Drosophila melanogaster: one gene and its partners. The protein of the gene in region 1 interacts with the protein of each later gene in a pairwise test. Each region holds a gene or a part of one and is shown on either strand. Other genes may lie near its edges.

Region 1 (6,529 bases):
ATCAGTTACTACGAATGGCTGCCCATCTTCTTGGGTGGCGAGAACATGCTGAAGAACCGGCTGATCTACAAGGCTCCATCCGGAAGCTATATCAACGATTTCGATCCCAACATTGATCCATCGGTGCTGAATGAGCACGCGACGGCCGCTTTCAGATACTTCCATTCCCAGATTGAAGGTCGTTTGGAGTAAGTGCCTATTTACTATTATGAGTTAAGAACATTTTATTAATTTTAAAATTTTTGTGCAGTCTACTGTCCGAGCTGCGTCAAGTTCTCGGCTCTCTGACCCTCAGCGACTGGTTCAATCGTCCCGGTATTATTGAGGTTGGAGATAACTTTGATTCCCTGACCAGAGGACACGCCACGCAGCCCGAAGAGCTAACTGATATCAATTTTGACCGACAGGTGGGTACACAAATAACAAAATGAGACCACCTTTCTAACCTCTCAACCTTTCCTGGCTTAGATCAAGCACTTCCTGTTCAGAAGAAACATGCCCTTCGGTTCCGATCTGCGTTCCCTGGACATTCAGCGTAATCGCGATCACGGTCTGGCTTCCTACAATGACATGCGGGAATTCTGCGGACTGAGACGTGCCCACTCGTGGGAGGGATACGGTGATCTAATAAGTCCACCAATTCTGGAAAAACTTAAGTCGCTATACCCGAGCCACGAAGACGTGGATCTGACTGTGGGCGCCTCCTTGGAGGCGCATGTGGCCGGAGCTTTGGCTGGACCCACCTTCCTGTGTATCCTCACGGAACAATTCTACAGAACCAGAGTGGGCGATCGCTTCTTCTTCGAAAACGGAGACAAGCTCACTGGATTTACTCCTGGTAAAAAGAACATTTCTCCTCTGACTATTTTAAATATTAATTTATTTATGTCTAATTTCGTAGATCAACTGGAGGAGCTGAGGAAGGCCAGTATGGCTCGTTTGCTGTGCGACAATGGCAACCACATTTCATCCATGCAGCCCGAAGCTTTCCGGACTGTTTCCCATTCGTAAGTTTAAATTGATTAAATTGGTTATTTGGAAAGTAACTGAGCTCTGAAATTACAGGAATCCGATTATACCGTGCTCAAATATTCCACAAGTCGACCTCACCAAATGGATTGATCAAAAGCTATATGCCACTGTAGATCCGTCTCACTACGGAAAGAAGTAATCCGCTGCTGTGGGATCTATGCTTAACTAGTTGAATACAAATACATTTAGCTTAATCAATAACATAAACGTAAATGCAAAGCCCCTCCCCCCCCCCCCCCCCTTGTATGATAATGTCCCAAACTGATGTACAGAAATAAAGCCCTTACCATTTAAACAATCAGCTTTACTTTCAGTGACCTGATAATGTTTGTAAGATTTCACGGAAATGAAAAGAAGTCAAGGGCAAATCCCAATGCCATCCAGACCCGACCCCTTCTTATGCAATAGGCCCGGATAAAGAAATGCCGGGTCCGAAAACCTTTACACTTTCGTTGACTTTGGGATAGCTCCGATTCATCGGGGTTAATCATATGGAGACGCGCGACCGAGGTGTGAACAAGTTGATAGAAACGGCCAATTAAGAGACAAAACTCTTTTTTCTGCCATTTTTAAGTCATGGTTCATTCGAATCGTAAAGCGAAACAATCGGCAACAGAGAATGTGTTCTTTTTTGCATATGTCTTCTGTTTTCAAATGGAAGTTAACATATTAATACTTCAGAGGCGGTTCACTTTTGGATTGGACATAAATTTACATATATAAGTTTAGAGAGAACCCAGGATGATAGCATCATCGCGAACAGGTTTGCATATTTTCCGAGAGATTTGGCAAGCAGATTTCTGAATGGACATGATATAACGGTTCTAGTGAATCTAGATTAATGAAAGTGATTTAAACAAAGTGTGCATACAAGATTAAGAGTTCATAATGCGGTATAAAAGTGATCCGTCCGCCGGAGAAAGGCAGCAGATACCATTTCGCCATGAGGCTGTTCGCAGTGATTTTTTGGATAGGTAAGGAATATGATTCAAATAGGATGGATCTGATTTCTAATTGGGATTCATTTCCTTTCCAGGCTGGGCCTTTGGCCTAGCGAATTCCAAGAACCCGAGTGCCGAGACGGGCAGACTGATAGCATCTCTACAAGCTGCTCCGGCTCCGGCGCCAGCACAAAGTGTGATCTACAAGCTGCCACCACAGCACTACTATCCGCCACCACCGCCGCCGCCTCCGCCTCCGCCACAGCACTGCAATTGCCCGCCAGGTCCACCGGGGCCTCCTGGACCGCCGGGCTTACCAGGAACGCCTGGTCCGCAAGGTCCCAAGGGACACACTGGGTCCAAGGGCGAGCGAGGAGAGAAGGGAGAACGCGGTCACTACGGACTACCAGGCCAACCAGGTGAACCGGGACCTATTGGTCCACCGGGACTACCAGGCCCACCCGGTCACAAGTCGGGACATGGTCACCATGATCATCATGATCACCACCATCATCATCCAGCGCCACCGCCACCACCTCCACCTCCGCCTCCGCCGCCTCCACCACCACCACCACCACACTCACACCCGCATTCACATCATCCCCACCCGCCGATCGTGACGCCACCAATTATAGTTCCCATACCATTGCCACCGCAGAAAGGTGAACATGGTCACCATCATCACCACAAGGGATCCAAAGGTCCACCCGGACCTCCAGGCCCACCAGGTAAGAGAAAATCGTTACTCATATATATCACAACGCTCTAACAGTGAAAATATTGAAAGGATATATTATAAGTCATTTTCCAAAATTTTACTGAGTATTTAATCTCTTGCAGGAACGGGACCACCGGGTCCTCCAGGACCTCCAGGCACTACGTATCCACAACCCCCACCACCACCACCACCACCGCCACCTCCACCACCATCGTACCCATACCCACCGTACCCGTATCCACCACCTGGTCCTTATCCGGGACCATGGATTCCTCTGCCAGTGCCAGTGCCCTGGCCCTCAAAGGGACATAAGGGGGATAAAGGTCACAAAGGAGGTCATAAGGGAGACAAGGGCGGACACCACCATCACTATTATCCACCAGGACACGATAAGGGAGGCTACTATCCGTATCCACCCCACGGTGGCCATGGAGGCCATCACCATCCAGGCCACAATTATCCAGGCCCCTATCCGCCACCATATCCACCTCACCATCCACATGATGGCGGAGACAAGGGTTATCACCATTATCCACCCCACAATCACGGAGGGCACAATCACGGGGGACACAACAACCATCATCCACCTCACAATGGAGAGCACAACCATAATCATCCCCCTCACAATCACGGAGGACATGGCCACCATCATCCCTCACACAATCACGGAGGGCAGGACCCACATAATACACACCCCCACACTGGTACACACGGAAATGGAGGACACAGCCAAACTTCACACCACCAGCACCCCCATCATCATCAACCAAAACCCACTAAGCCAGAGGGTAGTGGCGAGCAAACTCCACGGGATGATCTGGACTTGCTAGATGAAAATGTGGAGATTGTCGAAAACATAATTGATGAAAATGATAACGAAAATAATTTCATGGAGGGCGAGGAGGAAATGTCCAATGAGCCCAATGACTTGGAGACGGAACCCGAGGATGCGGACTACGGCCTTGAATATGCAGATAACACAGTGGAGAATCCCGAATCTCCGAGTGGCGCTGAAGAAATCGATGATGAGGATTCAAGCTATATGGTACCAGAAGGAGATGATGCGATGGAAGAGGACCATATGATGGAGGACCAGATGGACCCAGTGAATATGATGGAGGATAACGCACCTATGGATGGAGATGCAATTGAGGAGCGAACCAACAAAGGTCCGATTATCCTGTCAATTGGAACTCCTCGAAATCCCTTTCACATTTACGCCTATGAACAGTATAATATATAAATAAGCCAACACCACGAGAAAATAAAAAAATAACATTAAAATATGAGTCTTTTATGGGTTTTCTAACAATTTAAAAATACTACTTTTTGGGTTTCATTTAGAGATTTTGATACAGTTAATAAAATTTAAATGTTTAATAATAAACAAAAGCAGTGAACCTCTGTAGATTTCCGTATTAATAAGATCATCTCGCAGAATTCGTATAGCAAAAAATTTAAATGTATAAACAATAAACTGCGTTATTGTTAGCTGTCAAAATAGTTCCGTTGTTCTTGGAAATGTCTGCGGCTTTGTTAGATTTTCTATAAAATAACAATGGACAAAGATATGAAAAAAGTGAAATCATATTGAAATAAGCTATTAATTCAATGACAATCGAATGAAATTGCCAACTCAAATCATTTATCAAAATACAATGGTAAATTGTTGAATCTTATCAGCTAGGCAAGTAAAATTGTTTGTAATATATGTATTTAACTTTTGGCAGATATGAAATTAATAAGTTCAAATGTTTTCAGGTATTAGGTTGATTAAATTCATTAATAAATTTCTTTGTCCATAAATTAGTTTTGTACGACTTTTTAAAGCATGCGTGCGTCACGTTGATCCAATGCCTTAAAGTCTTGAAGAATTTTGAACGTCATATTAAATTTCACTATTTAAAAGCAATTTGTATGATAACGATAATGAAGAAGATAAGTCAGATCGTCCCATTTTTGCGGTATTCTTATTTTATTGCCCCGTAAATAAAACAATGGGGGCTGAAATGGAACAATCAATGCCGACATGGAACCAAATAAATAACTAAAGAAAGTTAATAAAACTTGTGCCATAATATACATTTTAATTCTTAAATAATAACCAAACATTTAAGCCCTAATTGTGGTAATCAATTTAATAATAGTATTAGCACATCGACAAAATGGAATAAATCATTTTTCTTGAGCCTCATCGAATTCCATGCGTGTGTATCTGGACCAATCTTCGGTTAAATTTATGCGAAATCATTAGGCTGATGAGATCTGAGATTTGCGATTTACATTTTACGTGTTTCGCATTAACCCATTAAAGTCTAGACCAACTGTTCTTAAGGTCTATATAAGAGATGATCTAAGACGAGCAGGTGTTCATTCACGAATGAGACGTCTTGAAATGAAGCTGCTCACGGTTCTGCTGTTCATAGGTAAGCCGAGTTAAGAAGATAGAACCTTAGAACATTACTTTACCTGATTCTTGCATTTTAGCCATCTCAGCATTTTGCGAGGGATCATGGCTGCTTTCCCCAGTCAAGCCGGTTGAAGTAGAATCGCGGCCAAAGACAAAGAAACCAGCTCATAATAACAACAATCTGTACTATTACAGTCCTGAAGCGATAGATTCTTCCTTTTACTACGGCTTTCAACCCAATTGCCAATGTCGCCCAGGCCCGCCAGGACCTCCTGGGCCACCAGGAATTCCTGGTCTGCCAGGTGTAGAAGGAGCGCCAGGAGAAAAGGGGGATCGTGGTGACCGTGGAGAAAGTGGTCAAAGGGGTAGGCCGGGTAAAACTGGATTTCCGGGACCAATTGGTCCACCAGGACTACCTGGACCACCAGGCCGCCCTGGCAAATCTTCATCGCATGAACAGAAACAAGGTACAACCATTATTTACTTGCCAGCAATTCCAGCGGACAAGCCGCCAAAAATGGAAAACCCACAGGCAGCAATGAAAACCCACCACCCGATAATAGAAACGACATTAAAAAGACAAACAAGCCTCGGGCACCGCAGCTTTTGAGGGCAAATTCCGATGAAATTAAATATCTCAATGTTAGTCCGCAACTGGCCCAAAACCACAAAAACCGAAATCGCAAAAGTCAAATTACTTTCGCCCATTTCGATCGTCAGAAAATCAACCAGAGTAACAAGATAACAACTTTGACTAAGAACTTACAAACAGTGACCAATTCCCAAAAACACAAAACAAACGCTCCAATGCGCCGAAAGCAGACTCCTAATCGAAAGGTAATTAAAAATACAACTACTGATTTAAGCAGTTCAGATCGTCAGTCAGTTAACAAAATGAAGGGCAACAATCTTGGCGAGAAAAACATATTGACTGATGCAAATAACAGCATGAATTTGAATATCAGCCACGTCGGATCCCAACAAACGAAAAACGTAACTAAAACTGGTGTAAAAAGTAGTCAAATTGATGATATACCAATACCAGCCGATGTATCTGCAATAAATTCTTTAAACAAAGAAGTAAATTCACAGATATCTAATACTACATTGCAAAGTATCATTCTGGAAGAGACGACTCTACCGAATAATATTAAAATAACAGATGAAAAGCTAGATCTTAACAAATTAATAACGATTACCGAAGAGGCGCCCGATGCGATTCATACAACAACAGTTCAAAATGAGACTTTAATGAGTGAAAACGCAGGTGAAGCACAAGCCACAGAAATTCCAACTGAGGAATTAGGAGAAACGACCACATATAATATGTCCAATGATGAGATAGATGAGTTCAGGTTTCACGACATTGGAACCCACATCGAGCACCGAAAGCCCAGCGACAAGAGTATCAACTGAATCTGAAGAACC
Region 2 (11,462 bases), on another chromosome or scaffold:
CACATCGGCTATTGCTGGAGCGGCACAGGCGATCACCAGCGCCACGGCAGCGAGGATGGTTGCTTTTTGTCCACCTGGAAGCGTTGAATATATTCATATGATGTTCCAATTTTTCCTGTTTCGAACTTTTATATGCGATACCCACCCATTATTTGCTTCTTCTTTTGGTGGCTCCTAGTTGAATACTGTTTCTGGTTGATGGACTTCCTGGGCTTTTATTTGCAGTCCAGCCAGGAGTTATCTTCGATCCGCTGGGCTGTCCAAGTTGATCGACGACCCTTCAGCTCAGGAACCCATTTTGTGATGTATCGCAAGCGAAGCCAACGAACCATTTTTGCATGATCGATGGCCATTTTGACAAGTCAACAAAGTTTTTGTGGGGATAAGAACTTTCCCAGAACTCAGACGGATAGAAATTTGGGTTCTTTTTATTAACTCAAATGTATTTTTTAGACTGCGTTTCTATAATTGGAATATTAAAAAGTTAATGTGTAAATAAAAGAGCAATAAAGAATTACATCGTGCTCTAAACTTATAACAGAGTTCGCATTTTAAAGCTAACGACTTTATAATTGTTATAATTGTTTAACCAAATGTATATACTTGATTAAATTTGAATGAGTTTTTTACCGAATTATATAATTCAAGTAGTACCATATCAAGAAGTTCTCCAAATATGGTCCTTTCTATTTTTTTTTTCAAACAAATCAATTAAACGAAATGAGATTAGAGTAATCTAAATTAGCTTAAAATTACCTACATATTATATGGCAAAACCCACACACTTTGTTTTTAATAATATTGACTAATTGTGGCGATTCCTAGACATATTTGTTACTATCGGAACAGAAAAGTTGGACTTATGTGGTAAAGCCCAATTGACTTTAAAAAAACAAGTAAGCTAGTGTAGTTCCTCGACTTTAAGATACTCAGTACTCATTTGAAGGGAGTTCAAGGACACTAGATTTTTTATATGTGGTTTACTTGTTGTAGCATACCTATACACCAAGTAATTTTCACATCAATCTTCTATATTCTTATACAATAGTATCTTTCCTTTCAACGAACACTCTGTACACTCATTTACTCTACGACTATCAGGTACAATTAAAACCGACGATCGGCAGATTATTTCATAAAGTTAGTTTAATCGTAAATAATTTCACAATAATGTATAATTTTAAACAGTAATCTCAATAAGTATGTATGTCAGTAAGAATCGGTCATCGTGGACTATTAATAGCATAATGTCGTGTGCACCTGAGTCAGCAGATCGCAGGCGATAAACATAATAACATTTGATTTTGAAATAAAGTTAATTACTATATGTGTAATAAATTAAATTAGACCCAATCTAAAGATAGTAATTATAAACAAGCGGATACGAATTCGACAACGAATACTACCAAAAAACCAAAGGTATGACCGCACAAGTTGACAAAAATAAAAACAAATTGGGTTTTAAATGAACTGCGCACCGGCGTTGGCCAAGTTTATCACTTGTCAAATTTGGATTTAACCGAATCTGATAAAAGTGAAATATGAATACGTCATGCGTCCATTTTAGCCACTGAAGACAGTTCTAGACTAACTTAGAGCTTCCAAAATTTACAGACCTTTCGGAAAACCCAAAAGTAGCGAGGGCATAAGCATTGTCTTTCGATTTGTATTTATTGGCGAACTTGGATGGCATCCAGTTAGACGTTCTTTTCCTCGTTAGCCGTTAAGAGGTACTTGTATCTTTGGAATACTAAAAGTTTGCTGAACTCGAGATGGGTGAGTATCTCTGGCACTAGCAGATATCCATCGAAGTAACTATATTGTTGTTTCGAGAAGAATTACCATTTCATAGACAGATATAAATATAGAAAACCGTAGACTTAGGCTCAAGAAGTTCATAACGAAAACTCAAACATTTATTGAAAAAAAAATATGCAATTTAAATCGAAATTGAAAGCATACTTCACTTGCAACTTATTTCGAATATCGTACTTATACCCTTTTATGCAAAACAGACACAAAGCTCGCCTTCATTTCCGGACTCATCATGATCCCCACGATATCAGGCGCCCTGACCTTCAATGCAACTCTAATATGTAGCTTGGTGGTCAACGGAACCAAGATGAACGATCCTCGGGCGTGCAACGCGTGGATTCAGTGCATCGATGGGAGCCCTGTGAGTGGTAGCTGTGCGACTGGACTCTTCTACGACCGGGAGAGCCAGAAATGCCTGAGTTCCAGTAGTATCAAGTGTCTGTCCAGTGATCCGTGCGCTGCTCTGCCCACCGGATTCGCGGCTGATCCGTACTCCTGCAATGGTTATTACTATTGCAAGGATGGCAAGGGGACGCACGGAGTGTGCAACACTGGGATGAATTTCAATTCGGGAACGCAGGACTGCATCCGCGATTTTCCGTGCTCGAATAAAATGGACCCGGATAGCTATTGCAACATCTTGCCGGATGGGGTCTTCGTCAAGGACACGGACAACTGCAATGGCTATCAGTTGTGCTGGGATGGCCAGGTGATCAATGGAACCTGTCCGGGCACCTTCTACTTCAAGGCCTCCACGGCCCAGTGCGATTATCCGCAGAATGTGGAGTGTGACTTCGTCCCAGTGCCAGATATTAGCAAGAAGGGTGTATGTCCAGAGACGGGTGGATTTATATCGGATAACAAGACCTGCAATGGCTACTACTACTGCAAGGATTTGGGCAATGGAGAGTTCTCGCTGGAGCATGGCGTCTGCTCCGATGGAAGATTTTTCCTGGCCACCGATGGCGGAGCCTGTGTCCCGCGATCCAAGGTGAAATGCGGCTACGATCGATGCGTGGGCTTGGGCAATTCCACCATTCAGCTGGCCAACGAGTCGGATGATGGCTGCAGGGGCTACTCGATCTGCCAGGATGGCATCGTCATTGGCCAAGGAACTTGTCCGCAGGACGAGTACTTCGACGAAATAACCCAACGGTGCACCACCCAGGTCATATCATATACCGCCTGTCAGATATCGGAGGCAACCACCGGGTCCCAAGTTCCAAGTGGCACCACCACCACCACCAGCAGCACCATCACTAGCACCACCATTGCGGTCCCGGTGTCGTGAGCAGCTCCTCATAAGTATAAGTAGTGCTGTTATCAGGCCCAAGTCCCATACAAATTATAGATCAGCTCTTTGTTTAGATTTCGTGGAATTGATCACAATACAAACATCTGAATTTTCAAATGTATTTAGGTATAAAAAGATTATTTCGAAAAGCTTAGTTGTACGATTAAAAGTTGACTCATTTGTGAACCATCCGAGCCATAATATAATCTTATCCCGCCTGCCAGAAAACGTCGGCTGATGAATGGCACTATCAGCAATATTTTGGTCTCGTGAGCGACGTACGCAATCAGTTTTAATTAGACAGTTTGTTTTTTCGACGCCGATACAATAAATATAAGTGGTGTAATCAGGCGCAATAACGATTAAGTTACCAGATCACCTCTGGGCCAAGATTTCCTTGAATCGATTGCCGAGCAAGACACTCGGTAACGTGAAACCGTGATGTCATACTCAAGAACACCACTTGGAAATTTGGCGATGGGAAAGTACCAGGGAGGTAGCCATTGGATCCCATTCATGGCCCATACATGGGTGATATCACCGTTTTTAACAACTGCAATAGGAGATTTGAATGGAAAAGTACGAAGTTATCGTACTACAAAGTTGATTATTCAAACCACTTTATTCATTAGGCACCATATATGTACATGTACATATGTCTATGAGGTGTCATAACAAGATAACTTATATTATTGAGTTTTTCGGAATTTGTTATCGTTATTTGTTATGATCAATAAATACTAATACATTATAGCGAGGCTGCAAAGTTGCCCCGTTTGTCATTTGAATACTTGACCTTTCCTACATACAAATCAATCATCCGCCCTGTGGACTTGTATAACTTCCTTCTTAAAGTGGACATAATTGATTTCTATGGAGAACGAAAGCGCGTCGATGCATTTCATTTGCATTTCACACTCATACAATATTTGTGGACCTAATGGGTAACATCGACCCTAATAGTTGAATTTAATTAGTGATAGACAAAAACGACCCTTGGGCGTTGGATACTTCTTGCTCGCCTGATGGCCAACACGGAAATAAGCGATCGCGGCAGCTCCGAGTAGCGAATTCATTATCTGGACTATCTGGAATCGGTTTGAAATTCTCCGAACCCTCCACTGGGGTACAATTTTAATTAAAACTGATAATTTTTTGGGCACTGCAAGTGTCACGAAAACAGATTGCCAAATATGAATCGTTGTGTGGCGCAGTTTTGATATCAAAAGGGTTGCCAGAAGAATTTTATCACGCCAACTTCGTTTCGCTAATGAACATTTCCGCCAATGTAGTTCAAAAATCAGTCCAAAAAATCATAGTATTTCTCTAGCATTATTTATACCAATTCATATTTTATTGTTCAAGGTTAGGGTAACATCTTCTATAAAGAGGAAGCAGACGGTAAAATTCGAATGGAAAGGGAATAAAACTACAATAGAGCCAAATGCAATGGATAAACTATATATATATACATTTCAGGTTTCAATGGAGTAACACATTTATTGGACATTTTTCGAGAAGCTAATATTTGTAGACCCATTTCCATGGTAAAAAGTAAATGGATGAATGTCATAAAACTTAACACTTCCCACCACAAAGTACATGAATTCCTTTCAAGCAATGCATTTGACCTCCACCATGAATTGGATCGATTTATTGGATATTTAAATTGGATGCGATTTGGTAAGGATTGTGGTAAGGATGCGATCTTCTGGGACAGCCTACACGGAACATGCGATGTTGTGGTAGTTGGTCTGTGTGCATCCCTGGTTGCGCTCGTCGAAGTAGTAGCCCGTTGGGCACTGGCCCAGGCTGACGGTCACTCCGCCGGAGCAACGTCCATAGCTCTGGCAATCGCCGGCGACGTTTACGTAGGTGATGTTGGTGCCCACACACCTGTCCAGCTGGCAGCGTACGTTAAGTCTGTCGCGGCACGAGAGCTTCTCGAAGTCGAAGTACTGGCCAAGTGGACAGCTCAGGTGCTTGGGCTCCGTGTCGTGCTTGCCGGCGACGGGGCTGCCACAGATATAGTAGTGGGAGCAGGACTCGTCGTCGGCAAAGTAGCCAACGCGAGCGGATCCGGTGGCACTGTCCAGGCAGAAGGTGTTTTCCGGTTCCGGCAGGGCGGCACTCTCGTAGCAGGACACCTCAGCCACATCCACGCAGTAGCCGAGATTAGCATCGTAGGCACTGGCCACTGGACAGGCTCGGCTGTGCAAGACCTCGCTGACGCACTCGTAGTACTGGTCACAGTGGACGGGATCGGCCAGACGGGTGTTGTTCGGCAGGGATCGGCAGGCGGGACTGGTCTTCTTCGTCTGGCTGATGGGGCAACGGTACTGCTTTTCGTACACGCAAGACCTCGATACGGGATGGAAGATCAGCTCGTTGGGACAGTTGGCCTTGATCTGCTTGTGCGACTTGCACAAGATGTAGCCGCGACAATCGCTGCTGCTGGGATCCACGATGAAGGCGCCTTCCGTTTCGTTGGCGCACAGGTTCGTGGCCTTGTCCGCAATGCTGTCGGCATAGGGACACACCGCGGCGCTGGAGGATGCCAGGATGCAGCGGCCTAGCTCCTTGTTGTAGTTGAGTCCTGCGGCACAGCCGCCCTGCTCCAGCACGCTGTAGTTGCTGGCGCACCGCACCCAGTTGTCGCAGGTATTCGGTCGCAGGAAGCTTGTCTCCTGCGGCAGCAGGTCGCACATCTCGGCCACCGATAGGTATTCAAAGTCCTCGATCACGCCGCCCAGGGCGCTGGCCACAAACAGCAGCGACAGGACACCGCTAGCTGCAAGTAAAATCGAAAATCGTGGGAACATTGTGTCAGGAACAGGATGGCATATCCAGTGTGCTTTACCATTTATTAACCCCAAACATGTGAGTCAATTTTTAAATTTAAACTACGATAGCTGGTACGAAAATTACCCTTCTGCCAGAAAGCCCTATCAACTTAAAAACTTAATGTTTGAATTTAATTTATATGTACATTTTTAAAGAGCAATTCTTTCAAACGAAATCCATCACTGTCAATGTTCAGCTGGCGTCCCACTTTAGTTTACCTCTATTCATGTTTTATATCCTTTGGTTAACTTGTATCCTGGTTTCTCGAACGCCCCGCTGCGATCTTGGCGGCACTCACAACTCAAATGATACTGCACCTTCGGAGGCTGGAGCTCTTAAATATGCAAAGGCCATTCTGCTCGGTTTTGTTCGGCGAAAAACAATTTCCAAAATGCACACGCTATCTCAATCAGAACTCCAAGATAGCGCTGATTTTTCGTTCTTCGATTTTTGATTTACTGATGTACGATAGCGGGGCCGCATGTAAATTACACGGCAATAACATCGGAATTGCCTATTTCGCAGAAGAACAGACTCCTGTGGTGGCGGTGGTATCGCATCGGATTGATAAGGGAATTGCATATGTCACGCCAAGATCTCCAAGATCTCAGCGCCATTGACGGTTCTCGAACATCTGAGAAACGCTGGAATAGTCATCTACAGACCGAACTCCCAATCTCATCGAATATCTTAATTCGGAGTTCGGACCAATAAATGAATTGCTGAACGATTTCTGCGTCAACTGAGCTCTTCGTCATGTCTCTTTGAATATTATTATTATTTTTTTGTATCATTTTGTTACCTATAACTATGCTATATTATACGATACCATACTAGAATATACTATACTATACTTTAGCCGCCGTTTACAGAAGTTAATATTCTAATACAATTTCACGTGTCTCTTTTATTTTTGATCTGTCCTTTAGCTTGGTTCAACAGCGACTGACTGCCGCGCTCTCTGCAGAGTGGCGAGTCGATTAGTCGATAAGTTTCTCGATAATATTTGTATGTTAAGGATGGGTGTATGAGTGTATAAGCTTATGACTAGATTGGCTATGTATAATTAGGTATGTATGACTAAGAGTAAAGGAAGAGGGTAGAAGGAGCAGCCTACTACAACTCGGCCGTCCTGACTACTAGATCTCCCGATCGTAGGATTTTATAACAATTAACGTTTCTTAAAGCTAAGGGTCCTGTTTCTTATTTTATTCTTCTTAGTGGAGATACTTTTGAACGGTCTTAAACATTTTTTTGGTTTTCTTTTCTTCTTGTTTGTTTTCTTTGTTTTACAATTGCTTCTTAAATTATACTTTCGATTTCGTACAGAGTTTCTTAAATTATACTTTCTATTTTGTACAGAGTTTCTCAAATTATACTTTCTATTTTGTACAGAGTTTCTCAAATTATACTTTCTATTTTGTAGACTCTTAATTTTTCTTTGCCAGTGTTTTATATTCTGTATGCTCCATACACCCCGGTAAGGATTGCGAGAAATTTGAAATCCATCAACATCTTCCAGAAGGAAGCGATCATTTTTGAGAACTTTGCTTATGACATAGGGTCCTTTATGCTTTGGAATTAACTTCTTAGCTATGCCTGTTGTTGAGTCAAAATTTTTAACCATGACGTAGTCGCCTTTTGTGAACACTCCTGATCGTTTTCGTTTTTTGTCAACATATTCTTTATTGTATGCTTGTGCTATTTTCTGACTTGCCTCGCCTTTATTTCTAATACTTTCTAAATCTCTTTCTTCAATCGTTTCTCCAATTTCCTCAATTTTTTCTTTTAACTCATCCATAATTTGTCCTTTTTGTTGTAACCCAAATAACATTATGCTAGGATACTGTTTAATGCTGCGGTGTAGTGTATTGTTCAGGGTATATTCGACCTTTTCTAAGACTAAGTCCCAGTGTAGACCTTGATCAGGTTCAATTAACTTGCTAATCATTGGACCAAGACTTCGGTTTATACGTTCAACTTGACCGTTGGCTTGTGGCGATCCTGTTGCAATTTTTATGTGTTTAACATTGCATTCTTTCAAAAATGAGTCAAAATCGCCAGACGTGAAACATGCTCCTCTATCTGATATGATACACTTAGGCCTACTGTATGCTCTGAAGTAGTCATTTAACGATTGTATGACTTCTTTTGTGTTCGTAGTTTTTGTTGCGTATAGTCTGACAAACTTTGTGAATGCATCTACTATCACTAGAATATGTTTCTTCGGTCTAGCCAAGTCTACTGGACCATAATGGTCAATATGGATTATTTCAAAAGGTTTGTTTCCCTTAGGTATGTTGTGTAGAAATCCTTCTGTTTTTCCTGTTTTGGGACTGAATGAAATACATTTTAAACAGTTGCTGATATGTGTGCTACACTTCTGTTTTAAATTTGGAAACCAATAGTTTTTCATTATAGCTTCTATCATTTTGTCTCTTCCTACGTGTCCAAGTTCGTTGTGATATTTGTATAACACTTGTTCTTCCATTTCTATCGGAACGTAGAACAGCAATCTATTTTCATTTGTCTTTTTGTAAACTATACCATTTCTCATCTCATACAATTTATTTTCTGTGTTTTCTAACAATTGCCTGATTTCTTTTAATTTTGTATCTTTCCCTTGACATATAACTAGATTATCTTCGAAACTGTTTGTTTGTATTACCATAATATTTGTACACCTACTCAGTGCGTCAACATGTTGCATGCGGCTACCTGCCCTATGCACAATTTCAAAATCATAACCTTGGAATTCTAAAGCCCACCTGGCTATCCTAGGGTTTAGCTCTTTTTTGCTTAGGGTCAAAATTAATGAGTTGCAGTCGGTGACTATTTTAAATGTCCTCCAATGAAGATAAACTCTAAATCTACGTAACGAATAAACAATGGCTAAAGTTTCTAACTCGAAACTGTGGTATTTTGATTCAATATCTGTTGTCCGTTTTGAAAAGAATGAAACTGGGTGCCATTTCTGGTCCTCCTTCTTTTGCATAAGTACAGCACCGAATCCAGAAGAACTTGCATCACAATGCAATTCTGTTTCGTGTTTATGATTGTATATAGCTAAGACCGGTGACTGTATTAATTTATCTTTTAACATATTAAAACAAATCATTTCTTCACTACCAAATTTGAACGGTTTATCTTTTTTTAGAATGTCATGCAATGGTTTAGCTAGTCTAGAAAAATCTTTTATAAACCGTCGAAAATATGAGCATAATCCCAAAAAACTTTGTACTGTATGAACATTATTAGGTATTGGGAAATTTTTTATTGCCTCGATTCCTTTGTCATTGGGCATTATGCCGTCTTTATTTATTATGAACCCAAGATATTTTATACTCGATTGCATAAACTCACATTTGTCTATTCTTAATTCAAGTTTATTTTCAACTAATCTTTTAAAAATTTCTTTCAACGTTTCTAAGTGTTCGTTTATATTTTCGGTTGCCAATAGAATGTCGTCCATATATACTACTACTTTGTTTTCTCTAATCATATCAGCAAAAATTTTGTTAACAAATCTTTGGAACACAGACGGGGCGTTTTTGAGGCCAAATGGCATTCGCAGCCACTCGTATTGGCCTAATGGTGTAACGAAAGAGGTGTATTTTATTGATTCTTTTTTAACATGCACGTGGAAAAAACCGTTTTTAAGATCGAGTTTGGTGAAAACAGTTTTCTCATTCATTCTATCTAACAAGTCATCTATAAGAGGTAGAGGATAGTTGTCTTTCATTGTCATTTTATTAAGTTTTCTAAAGTCGACGCACATACGTAAGTCTCCAGTTTTCTTTTTCACTAAAACAATAGGCGATGCATATTCCGAGTCGCTTGGTCGTATAAATCCGTTTTCCAAATATTCGTCTAATAGTTTTTGTAACCTGTCTTTTTCTGTGTATGAAAGCCTCCTAGGAGAACAGCTAAACGGTTTCGGGTTTTTCAAACACAATTGTATTTCACTTCTAACTGTCGGTTCATTTGGCCTTTTTGCATTTATATAAAAATTTCTAAACAACCTATCGAATTCTAGTTGTAACCTATTGCTAACATTTTCTCCTATTTTGTATTCTAACTCACTTTCAGTTACATGACATATTCTTAGTACTTCCTTATCAAAGTTGTGATTTAATTGTTCGTAAACGTTTTTATCTTTTGGCAATTTAAAACTAACGATTTCTTTTGAAGTGTTAACAATTTCATCTTCTGATAATTTTGATTTACTGACATTCTTTTGTTGATTAACTATTTCATCTCTTAACGATATTGGACCAGTTTCTTTATGCTGTTGATTAACGATTTTATTTTCTAACGATTTCGGACTAATAGTTGCATTTTTAAACGATTTTGGACTAACAATTTCATTCTCTAACGATTTGGGGCTAACAATTTCATTTTCTAACGATTGTGAACTAACAATTTCATTCTCTAACGATTTTGGACTAACAATTTCATTTTCTAAAGATTTCTCAGGACTATCATTTTCAGTAAACATTGATATTTTGTTTATTTCCATGGGTTTTCTCAACGCAATCATTCCCAAGGTGTACGGGTCTAAATTTAAATTGCATGCAGTTAAAAAATCTCTGCCGAGAATAACATTATACCTCATAGACTGGTCGCAAACAATGATTAAACGAAAATATATTTTTATTGATCCTTTCAATACATAACATGTGGTTTGTCCATGTGTTTTGAGAATACAGTTGTTTAAACCAAAATAGCAAGTATTAACTAGGGCTAACTTCATTGTCTCGTTAATAAGTGACTTTTTAATGATAGATATAGGACTGCCAGAGTCTATGAGGCATTCTGAAATTATGGGCTTATAAGCATTTTCAAAAAAATTAATTTTAAACCATCTTACATAATTATTAGATGAAACGCTCTTCCTTGTGGGACATTGTGCCACCAGGTGTCCAAGTTGTCCACAGGCGTAGCACGAACCTGGTTCACGTTTGGGCTTCTTGCAGATGTCAGCTTTGTGTCCTCTTGAATTACAGTTTGCGCATCGTATGGCATCTTTGTAGTCGGTTGGCTGTACAGGTGGCTCCCTCCGAGCTGGCAAACGGATGTTCGAAAATGCGCGTAGCATCTCCGATGGAGTAGAGAAGCATTGAATCCGTGCTTGGGTACGGAAATTTTGTAGCGGTATGCCCTCTATCATCTGGTCCAGTAGTTCGTCGTCGTCGATGTTTATCCCGTTTGAGAGAGCCATCTTCTCGTCGTAATAACTGCAGAAATTCTCCTCGGTTTTCCACTTGCGACTCTCGAATTTTCGCCGGATCTCAGCCTTGGATGATTGCTCGCCAAAAGTCAATGACAATTGATCAAGCAAATTGTCAATTGGTTCGATCAATCGAGCAGGGTGCGCATGTAACCAGACTTGCGCGTTTCCTTTAAGTTTAGTGATGAGTAAGATGCGTAAATGGTTGTCATCGATGTTGAAAGTGCGTGCGATATTTTTGACCACTGTTATCCAGGCACGCGCGCAAGTTTTCCCATC
Region 3 (12,304 bases), on another chromosome or scaffold:
TTTAAGCTCATTGTTTTAATTTAATCTAAGGTCTTTTTAAACAATTTTTATAATTGGCAATTTAGTTTTTATTCGATTTTTTTGGAAGTTTCTCTTGAGTCCGAACGCCAGTGTTGGACAACATGTGTGGTGGGCCTGCGATCAGGTGGCAGCCCCAAGGGAAACTGATTGCTCAGCTCCGCCCGAAACGAATCGAAACAATAACACAAACTGTTCACTTAGTCCGGAATTCTTGGAATCCAGCAGCACCATGTCCACACTGAACCGCCCTAAATCCCCGCACACGCCCACCGCCATTAAAAAGGGCGAGAAGGAGGACAGCTTCTGGGACAAGTTCAGCACTTTGGGCCGCAAACGCGGCACCCGCGAAGGTAAGTCCACTTGATGATTGGAGCTCTCCAGATGGCTATTGTCGGCCAGGAATTGATGGGTATCCCAGAGTATTCCATTCTTGGACCCCTGAACCTCCGAAAAGTGGCCCAAAATGACCCAATGGATCCTCCCCCTGCGCACTGGAAGCTCTTCTGGGAACAGATGTGCGGATGCGCTGATTAATCAGAACATTGCGTCACTGTTGACCCACACAAGCAAACGGCGCTGATAATCGAGAGTGTGTGCGTTTGTGTGAGATGGCCTTGTGTCGTCACCGTTTTTGTTTACCTTGTTGATACCCTAAATACGCATCCGCTTGCTCCATTTGCAGTGAAGAAGGTCCAAGAGGAGGGCAAGTACGCCATCGACTCGCCTGGATCGCCCAGCCAGTATGACATCCCGCCGGAGGACTATGCCCTGCGTAAGTGCATTCGTTTTGAAGGGGCATCTCCTCGTATACCCATCGCATTTCCCACAACTCATCACATTTGATCCTACAGGCGAGCACGAACAGCGCGCCGTCATCGATCCACAGTCCATCAGTGATCCCCAGGTGATAAAGCTGCAGCGCATCCTCGTCGACTGGATCAACGACGAGCTGGCCGAGCAGCGCATAATTGTTCAGCACCTGGAAGAGGACATGTATGACGGCCAGGTGCTGCACAAGCTGTGGGAGAAGCTCACCGGCAAGAAGCTGGACGTTCCTGAGGTCACCCAGTCAGAGCAGGGCCAGCACGAGAAGCTCAACATCGTCCTGAAGGCCGTCAACCATGTAAGTAGTAGTAGTTTATGTTTTGCAGGATTTAAAAATCGGAGTTACCAACATTTAATTATTTATCCATTCTTAAAGTCGAATAGAATAATTTTTATTCGATTTACAATTAACATTCCCTTTTCTCGCGATATAAGAATAAATTTTATCCTTGCCCACACCCACAGACACTCGGCTTTCACCAAAAGATTCCCAAGTGGTCGGTGGCCAGCGTGCACTCGAAGAACATTGTGGCCATATTACATCTGCTGGTGGCACTGGTGCGTCACTTCCGGGCGCCCGTTCGCCTGCCAGAGAACGTGTTCGTGACCGTCGTGATTGCGGAGAAGAATGCGGGCGTGCTGAACGCGCAGAAGTTCCAGGAGCAGATAACGTCCGAGTACGACGACCTGGGCATGCGCTGCGAAAAGGACGCCTTCGACACGCTGATCGACTGTGCGCCGGACAAGCTGGCCGTGGTGAAGAAGTCCTTGATCACGTTCGTGAACAAGCACCTGGCCAAGCTGAACTTTGAGATCAGCGATCTGAACACGGACTTTCGCGACGGCGTATACCTGTGCCTGCTGATGGGCCTGCTCGGTGGATTCTTTGTGCCGCTGCACGAGTTCCATTTGACGCCGCAGGACGTGGATCAGATGGTCAGCAACGTGGCCTTCGCCTTCGACCTGATGCAGGACGTGGGCCTGCCCAAACCAAAGGCGCGGCCGGAGGACATCGTGAACATGGACCTCAAGTCCACCCTGCGCGTCCTATACAGCCTGTTCACCATGTTCAGGGACTTCGCCTGAGTGAAACCCGGATGGAACGAGCCAGCGGGTTGCAGGAGCAACAAGCGGCGCCAATTTTACATTTTATATTAACTTTTTGATAGTGTTTACACGCCTAATTTATGTGCGTTCTCGAAACTGATTGTAGGCGATGCAGCGGTTAAAGCTTACTGATCCTAACTCTCAAAACCACAACTAAATGCTGCGTCGCGTATAATCAGCCCAAGGAATGTTTATATATATATATATATATTTATGTGTCGTACGTCTAACCACTGCGATCTGCTCCAGATTCAGATTGCTCGGAACAGGAAGGAGCAGAGCAGAGCAGAGCTAACCCAAACCCAAAATCCGGCGGCCAGTTGTTAACTTGTCTTACTCACGTGCCAGACGTTGTAGTTGTTACTAAGTGAATTTATTGTATTAATACATTATTTGAACACAATAACCGAGATTGTGCCTTTAGATCACACAGAGCTTTTGCAAATTATGTCACAGATCAGATTTTAACGCTGTAAATGTAGAAGTTTACGGAAAAGTCTTAAAAAAAAATTTTATTGTGTACGTTAAAAATTTGGATCAGAAAAATCAATAAATATTGCCAATAGCATATGTGTTATTCTATTTTAAACAGTTCCAAGGCGCAAAATTTATCTGGGGCTGCAGCACTCACAAACGCCAGCTTCCATCCTATTCACATGTAAGTTCTTTCGAGCGTCTCGAATTGATTGAGAAACAAACCTTAGTAATTTTCTGAACGCTGTGCTATTTGAATTGTCGCGGTTGCGCGCGCAACTCGCAACGGTCTGGTATCGATCACAGCTGCGAGCAGGCTGCCAGATCGCTTCCCGTTCGGGAACGATTTCGCATCGATTTTCGATTGCTGGCCGGTATAATTTGAAAATGTTACTTTGCTGACCGGATTTTGGTCCTTGGCCAGATGTTGGCCATGAATCTAAAAGCCAGTATTTAGTAACTTGCGTTGATTGCAGCCGCTTAACTAAGCCGCTTAGCCAGATATGTCCTAATGTTATGTGTTTCGTTTCGAAACAAGGTGGCAACCATGCGCATGCTTTTTATGATTTTCACAATAGCCGAGCGAAGTTTCAAGATTCTAGAACTACCCACCACACCAACGCTTCTGCTGCGCCGCCAGTCCCACAACTACGGCTACGACTACATCAGCCCCACGCACATCGAACTCAGCCGGGAAGCAACTCGCCTGGTAATTCGCCGTCTGCAGCGCACCGTTCTCCGCCTGATCCGTGACCCGGACTTCATCATGTCTGCCGAGGCGAATCCCGAGATGGATAAGGAGCACCACGAGTCCCCATTCGCAGCGAACCGCAAGGCCGGTGCCAGCGGCGCCGGCAAACAGGACTCGAACTGCCGCACCTGCAACGATTTCAAGTCGTGGTCCAAGCAGCAACGCCTCATCTCCAACGTGCAGAGCGCCAAGGTGACGTGATCGCGTTGGCCACTTCGCCTTCGCAAGCAGGACGATAACACAAGAATCTCCCACTTTCATACTCCTCCAGGTGAAGCACATGGCCGCCGCCGAAAAGCTGACCGTCAACGCCGCCGAAGATCCGCTGCCCCGCGACGACTGCCCGCTGGACAAGGTGAGGCTGGGAATTTCCACCTGGGGACTGCTCCACACCATGGCCGCCTTTTACTCGGACAACCCCACGGACACCGAGAAGCGCGACATGAAGACCTTTTTTGAGGTTCTGTCGCGCCTTTACCCCTGCGAGTTTTGCGCCAAGGACTTTCGCACCGAGTAAGTGCATCTTCAATCCATTTGAAAACGCTGACACTTTAGCTGGACCTCTGTTGCAGCCTGGACGTCAACCCCATCAATGTGAACTCCCAAAAGGAGCTAGCACTGTGGCTGTGCAAGTTCCACAACCGAGTGAACGACAAACTGGGCAAACCGCTCTTCGATTGCACCAAGGTGAACGAGAGGTGGCGCGACGGCTGGCTAGACGGCTCCTGCGACTAGGCGCCGCAGCTAACCAGCGCCGAGAAGCCCCGTCTCCCGCCCGTTGCAGGTTGCCATGTTGACCAGACTTTGTCCCACATTTTGCTCGGCTGGCCCACAACTACAACCACGGAACACGGGACTCCTGCTCGGCGGTGTACCGCCGCCAACCCGAAACTGTGCCCTGTTTCTGGCCAGAGGCCATGCCCACCAGTCGGAACCTGCGTCAGCGTGACATTAAATTGAGTTATGTTGTAATAGAGCGACACATCGAAGGTCCATTGTTAAATGATTTGCTGGCTATGAACTCCATTAGAATATACACATTATGTTGAGGACCCGTATTATGCCTTCTCACTGGCCCTGCAGATATCGCAATCTCTAATCTGCCGACTGGCGTTTATTAGATTAGAATGGGGAAGGCAAATGCTTTCCACTTCGATAAGATGGGAGTGGAAAGATCTAAAGCGGAGTTGGAATACAATGCTTAGTTGGTTCGAAATTAGGGGATTTGGCTGATACTTATATAGTTTTTAGATTTCCTTTCTATAATACCTAAAGGACTAAAGGTCTTAAAATTTGTCTGCTCTGGTTATATTTTTTAATATTTAACTTAATTTTTTTTTGCAATCAACGAAACATTAACATTTTATTCATTTAACATTTTAATATGCTTAACATAAGAGATATAAAAATTAGTGGAATTTTCGTAAGAGTAAGCCATTATATGATTTACTTATATAACATGATTGCTCAGCAATAGTTTAGGTAGTTTAAGCGGGGAAATTTAAATTTGGCTAATTTAAAATATTTAATACCTCAAATTTAGATGAACGATATTTTCGATTCATAATTATCGGTGATAACTTGTTCGATAGCTCTTCGTTCAGAAATAGCCAGATTTGGCGGCGAAATAGCTGCCCCCGCAGCGCCGCTGCCCGCACATTGTCGTGGTAGCCAACACTAGCGCACATCGCACTACAGTTAGTTGCCTGCTGGCTTTTGCGCGTCGCACGTATCACTTCGTCAGATTTCTCGATTTGGTCGAGCTGAGTAGAGTGTAATTACCAAACAAAGAAATGCGCCTGGCTCAAATTGAATAAATAAAAGCGCCCGCCGTGTGTGACAATCACTTTGCCCACCCCCTTTGGCCAGAAAAGGAGCGCCACTAGCAGCGGAGGAAGAAGCAGCAGCACCATCACCACCACCAGTTGTAGTACAGGAAGAAGAAGAAGCAGTTGCCCTGAAAGAGAGAGAGGGTGCGAGCGAGAGAGGACGAAGCTAAGACAGGGCTGTTCGACAACCAGGTGTTTACATCCTGCTATCCACCATCTGTGTGTGTGTGCATGTCTGTGTGTTGTGTCGTCATCAAACAGCCGATTAAAATATTGAAATCCGTGCAATAAACAATAGTGTCTGTTCCCCTTTCATACTTACTATTTATTATAATTTTTTTTTTTTAATTTTTTCCTTGTGCAAACCCCCTCCCCCCACGTGCGGTTAATCGAACACTGAAGTGCGAACGCGAAATTGCGAATTGTAAAATTCACAAGGTGCCCAATTTGAAGCCAAACGAGATCCGTAGCCACATCGCAATAGCAGAATGGCCCCGGCTCTAAGCAAATTGGCCAACAACCAGAGCGCCATCGTCGGCGTGGCGGGCATGACGGCGGCCCTCTGGATAATTGCCTACGGAAAGATGTCCAACAAGAAGCGGTAAGCCCCCCCTTGATCTTAATTACGGATAATTGTGGCTCAACCATGTTATTTATGTTGCCTGTGCAATATGCAATATTCTACGAACATCTTATTGCACAAGGTCTCGGTCTTGGCCATCGATGTGTCCGTGATATTGACTTGAGTTTTGGATCGCTGTGTATTTATGTACAAACAGATTTGTTTGCGGGACATACGATGCGATGCCACTATTGTGGGTCATCTGGCGGACTGCAAAAACTGGTTTTCCGATGGCCGTTTCTGCCACACTGTATGCACTTCCCCCTCATTGTAGTCCGGTTTCAATTGATTCGTCCAGCAGCCGCGCACAGTGGGCCGGACAGTTCGTTTGCAGCTCCAAATACTGTTCTTTTCAATTGTGTTACCCATTGCCATAATCTTATAATAAGTTTGGCGACCACCAGCTTACGTTTTGAAGATTCTCAAAAAGATATTTTTAAGTGCAGTCCCAATACAAAAAAAAAGTCAACAGATCATCGATTCATTTAAGTAGATGTGAACCAAAGTAGCTGGATCTGTTTGCAGTCTATCCCTATTATGTAGATATACTGATATCTAGGATAGGTCTGAATGTATATATTGTCTGGGAGGAATGGAGGAATTCCGCGTACTTAGCAGAAGGTAGACTCAGATAGGCACTACATTTCCGGCCAAACAGCAAACTCGATTAGGAAAGCCTTCTCGGCGCCCTCGACTATTATGACCCGAATAGCCACTTCTTGGCGGCCTGCTTCATTGCGGTATCGCTTCAAGGATTTCCCCATCGAGCACCTGCGATGCGGACTTGATTCCCCGGTTAAGGGCCACGTTTCGGTGTTTGAATGGACTTGGTCTTTGCCGCTAATCTAATCGGCAACGCGCCAGTCTACAGCACTTCATCTATATGCCCCATTCCACTATCGCCACTCGTGCCGATTATGCTGTTGTTAACGCGCTCAATATTTGGTCATATTCGATGTGTGCGGGGTTCGGCGCGCAATTGACCGCTATCAGTCGATTTCATCTTATTGAATAAACTGAACGGGTAAAGCGGGCGCAATCGACTATTTGCATGACAGAGCCAATTAATTAGACAGATTGCGGCGGACAAGTGGAGTGGGTGGGTGATTGCATTGCCAGCCAGCCAGCCAGCCAGCCATCCGCATGGGATTGTGGGGGATCTGCCGTGGCTGCATGTGCCACTCGTTAATTGCTAACATTACTCCGAGTACTCGGAGTATGCCGAGCACTCCGATGTTGGATACCCAACCGGTGGCCATCACTTTCAGCAACTTCTCTGAAGTGCACTGCACTTTGGCAGGCGATCGAAATCGAGCATTTTAATGCGCTGTTTACTTTTTTATGCAACTTTTGCGAGCGAGGTAGCCGCCACTTGTGGATGGCCGCTAAATTTATGCACCATTCCATTGTTCGAATTTTGCACAGTGGATGGTGCAGTCGGTTCAATGGATGCAGTGACTGGACACTCCACAGTCCAACCAACCAAATGGGCTTCGCAAGTGGAGCTCCACTTCGATTATGCTTTCATATGAATCAGTGGTTGAATTTTGTGGTTCATTTCATATAATTTCATTTAATTTCATTCATTCTATGATTCACTTTCAAGTCCAAGAGCTAATCGCTGAATGATTAAGAACGTTGAAAGTTTAAAAGGGACTTTTCGAATGTGTCAACGAGTTTCCGAGTAGCAACGCCTCTTGCACAACTTTCAAGGCGCTTTTTTATCGGTGTTTTTTTTATAGCCTCATATCAAGGACAGGCCCTAGAATTGTTAACTGATATGGTACGGTTATGCTAGCTCGTAGCACCGCCAATAATGTCTTTGCAATCTATCAAGGGTTTGGACAATTGGACAACACACCCAAGCTCATTAGTCCAAAGGTCCAAACACTTTGACTTGACATCCAGCAGCCTGCCTTGCAATCGAACACGCAACCACCGGTGGGCAGTTTGCTTTTGGTGTTGCAACAACACTCGATTGTACCCCTTACCCGGACCCAAGTCCGTACCCATACCCACACACACACACACCCATTCCATGGATGACATGATGACACCCGGGTATAAAGCATAAACATTACAGCCGTGCCTTTTAATGACTTGCGTCGTGCCATCCACAACATTGGATGGAGAGAAGCGCAGAGGACCAGTGGCTTCTGGTTTCATTTTTCCATTTCCATTTCCATTCGCATTCCCGTTCCCATTCCCAGCTCTTTGCCTTCGAGATGGGTAATGGGTAATGGGGTATAGGTGTTAATTTGTGTACAACTTGCTCTGTTTTTCGCAGGTAGACACATTCTGTATCGCCCGGCCCGTCCCGCCGGCTGTTGCGCAATAGCTTGTGTGGCTGTGCGCGCTCCAGACTTTCGGATGGGGAAGTGGAAGAGTCGGATGGATGGAGAGACCTTGTGCCCGGGAAACGCTTGGCCCTCGATAATCGGATTGCCCCGCAAGGCAGCCATTTATCGTGTAATTTGTATAATTCTCGCCTTTACTCGGACGGTGCGTGAAATGAGATCGTAATTTCAATGCAGATTCGCAGCCGAGCTCTGACATTTGCACCTGTTGCGGATGCCACGTTGCCAAGGCCTGTATGTCTGTCTGTCTGCCTGCCTGCCTACCGCTCACTCACTTACTCACTCACTCACTCACTCACTTACTCGCTCGCTCACTTGCTCACTCGCTCTCACTTCTGAGACATCGCAAGCGGAGTGGAGTGAGCGTGTGAGTGCCGGCAGACTGACTACGGGTCTTGAGGTCTACAGGTAACAGCCAAGGCAACAGGTGATGAGTATGCCCGAGCTGTGTCGAGCTATCTGATTTTGGCCAGCGTTTATCAGACAAACTAGCTCGATAGCGGCTGCTATGCGGCACAAGAACCACTGAACTTTGATTGCAATCCGCGGCAATGTCTCTATCTGAGTCAGACGCCAACCGATCTTCTCGCGCCCGGGTTCAATGTGCCCCCCATTAGGCGATCGCCGGCGATTAGCGAAAGAGAGCTTTGGATGAATCGCAGGGGCAGGCGATTTCGGAATGGGAATGGGAATGGGAATGGGTATGGGTATGGCAATGGGAGCCACCGGTGTTGACCTATGGACCCAAACACATGTTCCACGTCTAGGCGGTGAAAACAAGTTTAATATACTACGAATCAAAAAAGGAAAACCACACGAGAGACAGCCAGACACACAGACGGATTGAAAGATAGATAGATGGAAACATATATATATATATATATATATATATATATAGAAATAAATACAAGAGCGCTATGAATAATTCAGTGATCTGCGCAGCGATATTTAAGAAATAACCAAGTCATCACGACTCGTCGCTTTTTCCAGCCTGCAGATAACCAAGGCGCGAGCTTTGTACTTTGTTTGGCCTAACATACCAGTAGCACCAGCACCAGCACCAGCACCAGCACCAGCAACACCAGCACCTCACATCTCATCACCCACATTATCCCATAGACTTCGAACCCTGGGCAGGTGGCGATTTTGGACTCCATCCGATTCGATACGATACGATCCGATCCGATCCGATCCGATCCGATTGGCGATCCAATGCCGGTTAGCCAATGGCCCAGTGGCTTGTGTTGAGCTGGTCAGCTCTGGGCACCGGTTTTCATCCGGACCTTGATCCCACAACGATTAGCAGCTGAAAAGAATTCAAACAAATTATCTCGGAAGCATTTCATGTAGCAAATTTGGGGAAATGTGCTTTTTTTTTAATGTACGCTCAAGCAAAAGTGATAACGAAAGCCCATAGCTTGTGAGTAATGTTTGAGATAGTTAAACTATTTAGCCGAATTTCCATGCAATCTAAAATAAATATTTTATGTTTTTTTTTTTTTTTGGAAATTATAATCGTTTTAATTGATAAAACTTATCGATCGGCTAATTAGTCGAAACATTTTGTGAATTACGCACGTTAAATGGTGGACTTAAAAAGTTAGCCAACTGATTTATTGATCGATTCCATGGCATCTTGTTTGGAAAAGTTTCTACATATATCTGCACAATATTGAGTACTTTGCTCACAGCGACTTCGCTTGCAGTATTGCTGCATAGACGGGCTAAATGTTTGTTTATCAAACGAATCGAATATTTAGAGTGACGATTTGTTAACGCACGCAAAATTTAGCAGGCTTCATGTGAATAATTTACCGGATTGTAAAAAGTACGAACGATGATCGAGTCGTTTTTTTATTTTTTTGTATTTATCTATTTGTCATTAACCAACCTAATGAAGTGCGGTGGTGTGAAAAGTCATGGCTCATCCCGGCGTCTTAATTGTTGGATTTAATCGCACACCTTCATTGCAAATAAGCGACTTTATGGAGACACTAAACACGAAGTTCGTTCTTTATTTGCGGCGCCGATGATAGCGCGACTTGCTATAAAAAGGCAAAGGTTGCTATTCAAATTGGCTATCCAAACAGGGAGTTTAATTATTGTGATTTATTTCATAAATTTGCCATCAACGTTGCACATTTGCCTGGCCAATGATCGAAACTGCACAACATCGTTGGCTAAAAACAGTTTTGGAATGATAAGACCACTCCTCTTATCAACATTTTTCATAACTGCTGTACGAGTTTTAATTTATTATTAAGTTTATTGAGCCATAACCCAAATCCATTAGCACTCAATGGAGATTTTGAGCAGTCCAATTGTCTGCCATCCACAAAGATCAAACATATGTATTATTATATCTATATATCTATAGAGGGCAAACAGAAAGAACCTTTGTAAATACGGCCAACTAATAGAGTTATTAATTTCTCTCATATTTTATTGCTTCAAACGACATATAGCTTAGTTACAAACACTTTTAATATGCTATCTTCATTGCAGAAAACCCGGCTATGAGGACAAGATCCAGTACACAATTGCCGAGAAGAAGGATAAGAAGGCGGGAAAGGCGCACGTTAACTCAGTATTCTTCAAACAGCTCCGCCAGCTACTCCGTAAGTAGATCCTCATAGAGATCCTTTAGCAGTCTCTCGGATCACGTGCAACCTTCCCTTCCCTTGCAGCCATCCTCATTCCCGGCTTCTGGAGCGTGGAGACCGGACTGCTCTTCCTGGTGGCCGCCGCACTGATTGGCCGCTCGGTGAGCGACATCTGGATGATCCAGAACGCGACGGTGGTGGAGAGCACCATCATACACATGAATCGCACCAAGTTCAAGACGGCGCTGCTCAAATACCTGACAGCTCTGCCAGCGGTATGGGATACTAATGCGATTTACCCACACAACGAATAGTTCTAGCTTCGCGTTGCTGTTTCTTGCAGATCTCCGTTGTGACCAACGTCCTCAAGTGGAGCTTGGGTGAGTTGAAGCTGAGGTTCCGCACCAACCTCACACACCACCTGTACAGTCAGTACCTAAAGTGAGTGCCATGGACAGATTGCTCAGCCAGTCGGGCAGATATTAACCAGACTCGTTCGATTGCAGCGGCTACACGTACTACAAAATGTCCAATCTGGACAATAGGATAGCCAACGCCGACCAGCTGCTGACCACGGACATCGACAAGTTCTGCGAGAGCGCCACGGACCTCTACTCCAACATCAGCAAGCCCGTGCTGGACATCTTCATCTACGTGTACCGCCTGACGGTGAACCTGGGCGGCAAGACACCATCGATCCTGATGCTCTACCTGCTCTTCGCCGGCGTCTTCCTGACACGCCTGCGCCGCCCCACTGGTCGCCTGACCGTCGAGGAGCAGAAGCTGGAGGGCGAGTTCCGCTATGTGAACAGCCGACTGATCACCAACTCGGAGGAGGTGGCCTTCTACCAGGGCAATGTGCGCGAGAAGCTCACCCTGCTGGCCAGCTACTCCAAGCTGCGTTCGCATCTGCGCAAGTTCCTCGAGTTCCGCGTCAGCATGGGCATCATCGACAACATTATCGGCAAATGTACGAATGCATCTGCAACTATCTACATTCGAGTGCACCTGATTCCAACATTTTCAACTTTCGCCCACAGATTTCGCCTCCATTGTGGGCTTCTACGCCGTCTCCATTCCCTTCTTCTCCGAAAACCATCCGCTGCTGTCCGGTGAGAATAGCGGCCAGCGCCTGCAGGCCTACTACACCTACGGACGCATGCTGGTCAAGCTGGCGGAGGCCATCGGACGCCTGGTGCTCGCTGGACGTGAGATGTCCCGCCTGGCCGGCTTCACCGCCCGCATGACCGAGCTAATTAAGGTTCTGAGCGACCTCAACAAGGGCACCTACGAACGCACCATGGTGAACGGCAACAACCTTGCGCAAAACGCCGTCGGATCGGCGTCAAGCAACTTTGGACCAAACAAGGGCATCATGTGCTTCGAGGACAACATTATCCGCTTCGAAAAGGTGCCACTGGTGACGCCCAACGGCGATGTACTGCTGCAGGAGCTGTCTTTTGAAGTGAAGTAAGCATATATATATATATATATGGCGATCAAGATTACATTACATTACTGCTAACGAAGAAACTGATTGATTGATTAATGCTCATTGATTTCGATCATTGCAGGTCTGGCACAAACGTCCTGGTCTGCGGTCCCAACGGCTGTGGCAAGTCCTCCCTGTTTCGCATCCTCGGTGAGCTGTGGCCGACGTGGGGCGGCAAAGTGACGAAACCGTCGCGCGGCAAGCTTTTCTACGTACCTCAGAG

Evidence for each region.
Region 2: the proteins of CG5225 (region 1) and CG7017 interact in a two-hybrid assay, tested with the Drosophila melanogaster proteins (one large-scale study listed by BioGRID).
Region 3: the proteins of CG5225 (region 1) and Abcd3 interact in a two-hybrid assay, tested with the Drosophila melanogaster proteins (one large-scale study listed by BioGRID).

The regions. Positions count from the first base shown.
Region 1 is NT_033777.3:17,026,731-17,033,259, forward strand, and holds CG5225 (uncharacterized protein), read left to right. Parts: upstream 1-1,962; 5' UTR 1,963-1,975; coding exon 1,976-2,006; intron 2,007-2,068; coding exon 2,069-2,701; intron 2,702-2,813; coding exon 2,814-3,934; 3' UTR 3,935-3,971; downstream 3,972-6,529. Other genes in the region: Pxd (peroxidase), read left to right, coding at 1-188, 251-407, 469-838, 902-1,007, 1,066-1,171; CG31268 (uncharacterized protein), read left to right, coding at 5,087-5,117, 5,179-5,568, 5,634-6,517.
Region 2 is NT_037436.4:20,205,853-20,217,314, forward strand, and holds CG7017 (uncharacterized protein), read right to left. Parts: upstream 6,271-11,462; 5' UTR 6,182-6,270; coding exon 6,172-6,181; intron 5,901-6,171; coding exon 4,831-5,900; 3' UTR 4,440-4,830; downstream 1-4,439. Other genes in the region: CG7290 (uncharacterized protein), read right to left, coding at 1-74, 146-149; CG6996 (uncharacterized protein), read left to right, coding at 1,773-1,776, 2,016-3,106.
Region 3 is NC_004354.4:19,745,939-19,758,242, forward strand, and holds the start of Abcd3 (ATP binding cassette subfamily D member 3), read left to right. Parts: upstream 1-4,831; 5' UTR 4,832-5,199; exon of another isoform or gene 5,200-5,409; 5' UTR 5,410-5,495; coding exon 5,496-5,608; intron 5,609-8,932; exon of another isoform or gene 8,933-9,365; coding exon of another isoform or gene 9,366-9,406; intron 9,407-10,491; coding exon 10,492-10,604; intron 10,605-10,673; coding exon 10,674-10,864; intron 10,865-10,932; coding exon 10,933-11,030; intron 11,031-11,095; coding exon 11,096-11,559; intron 11,560-11,629; coding exon 11,630-12,059; intron 12,060-12,163; coding exon 12,164-12,304. Other genes in the region: parvin, read left to right, coding at 251-371, 704-793, 873-1,144, 1,312-1,932; Alr (augmenter of liver regeneration), read left to right, coding at 2,975-3,370, 3,450-3,691, 3,751-3,913.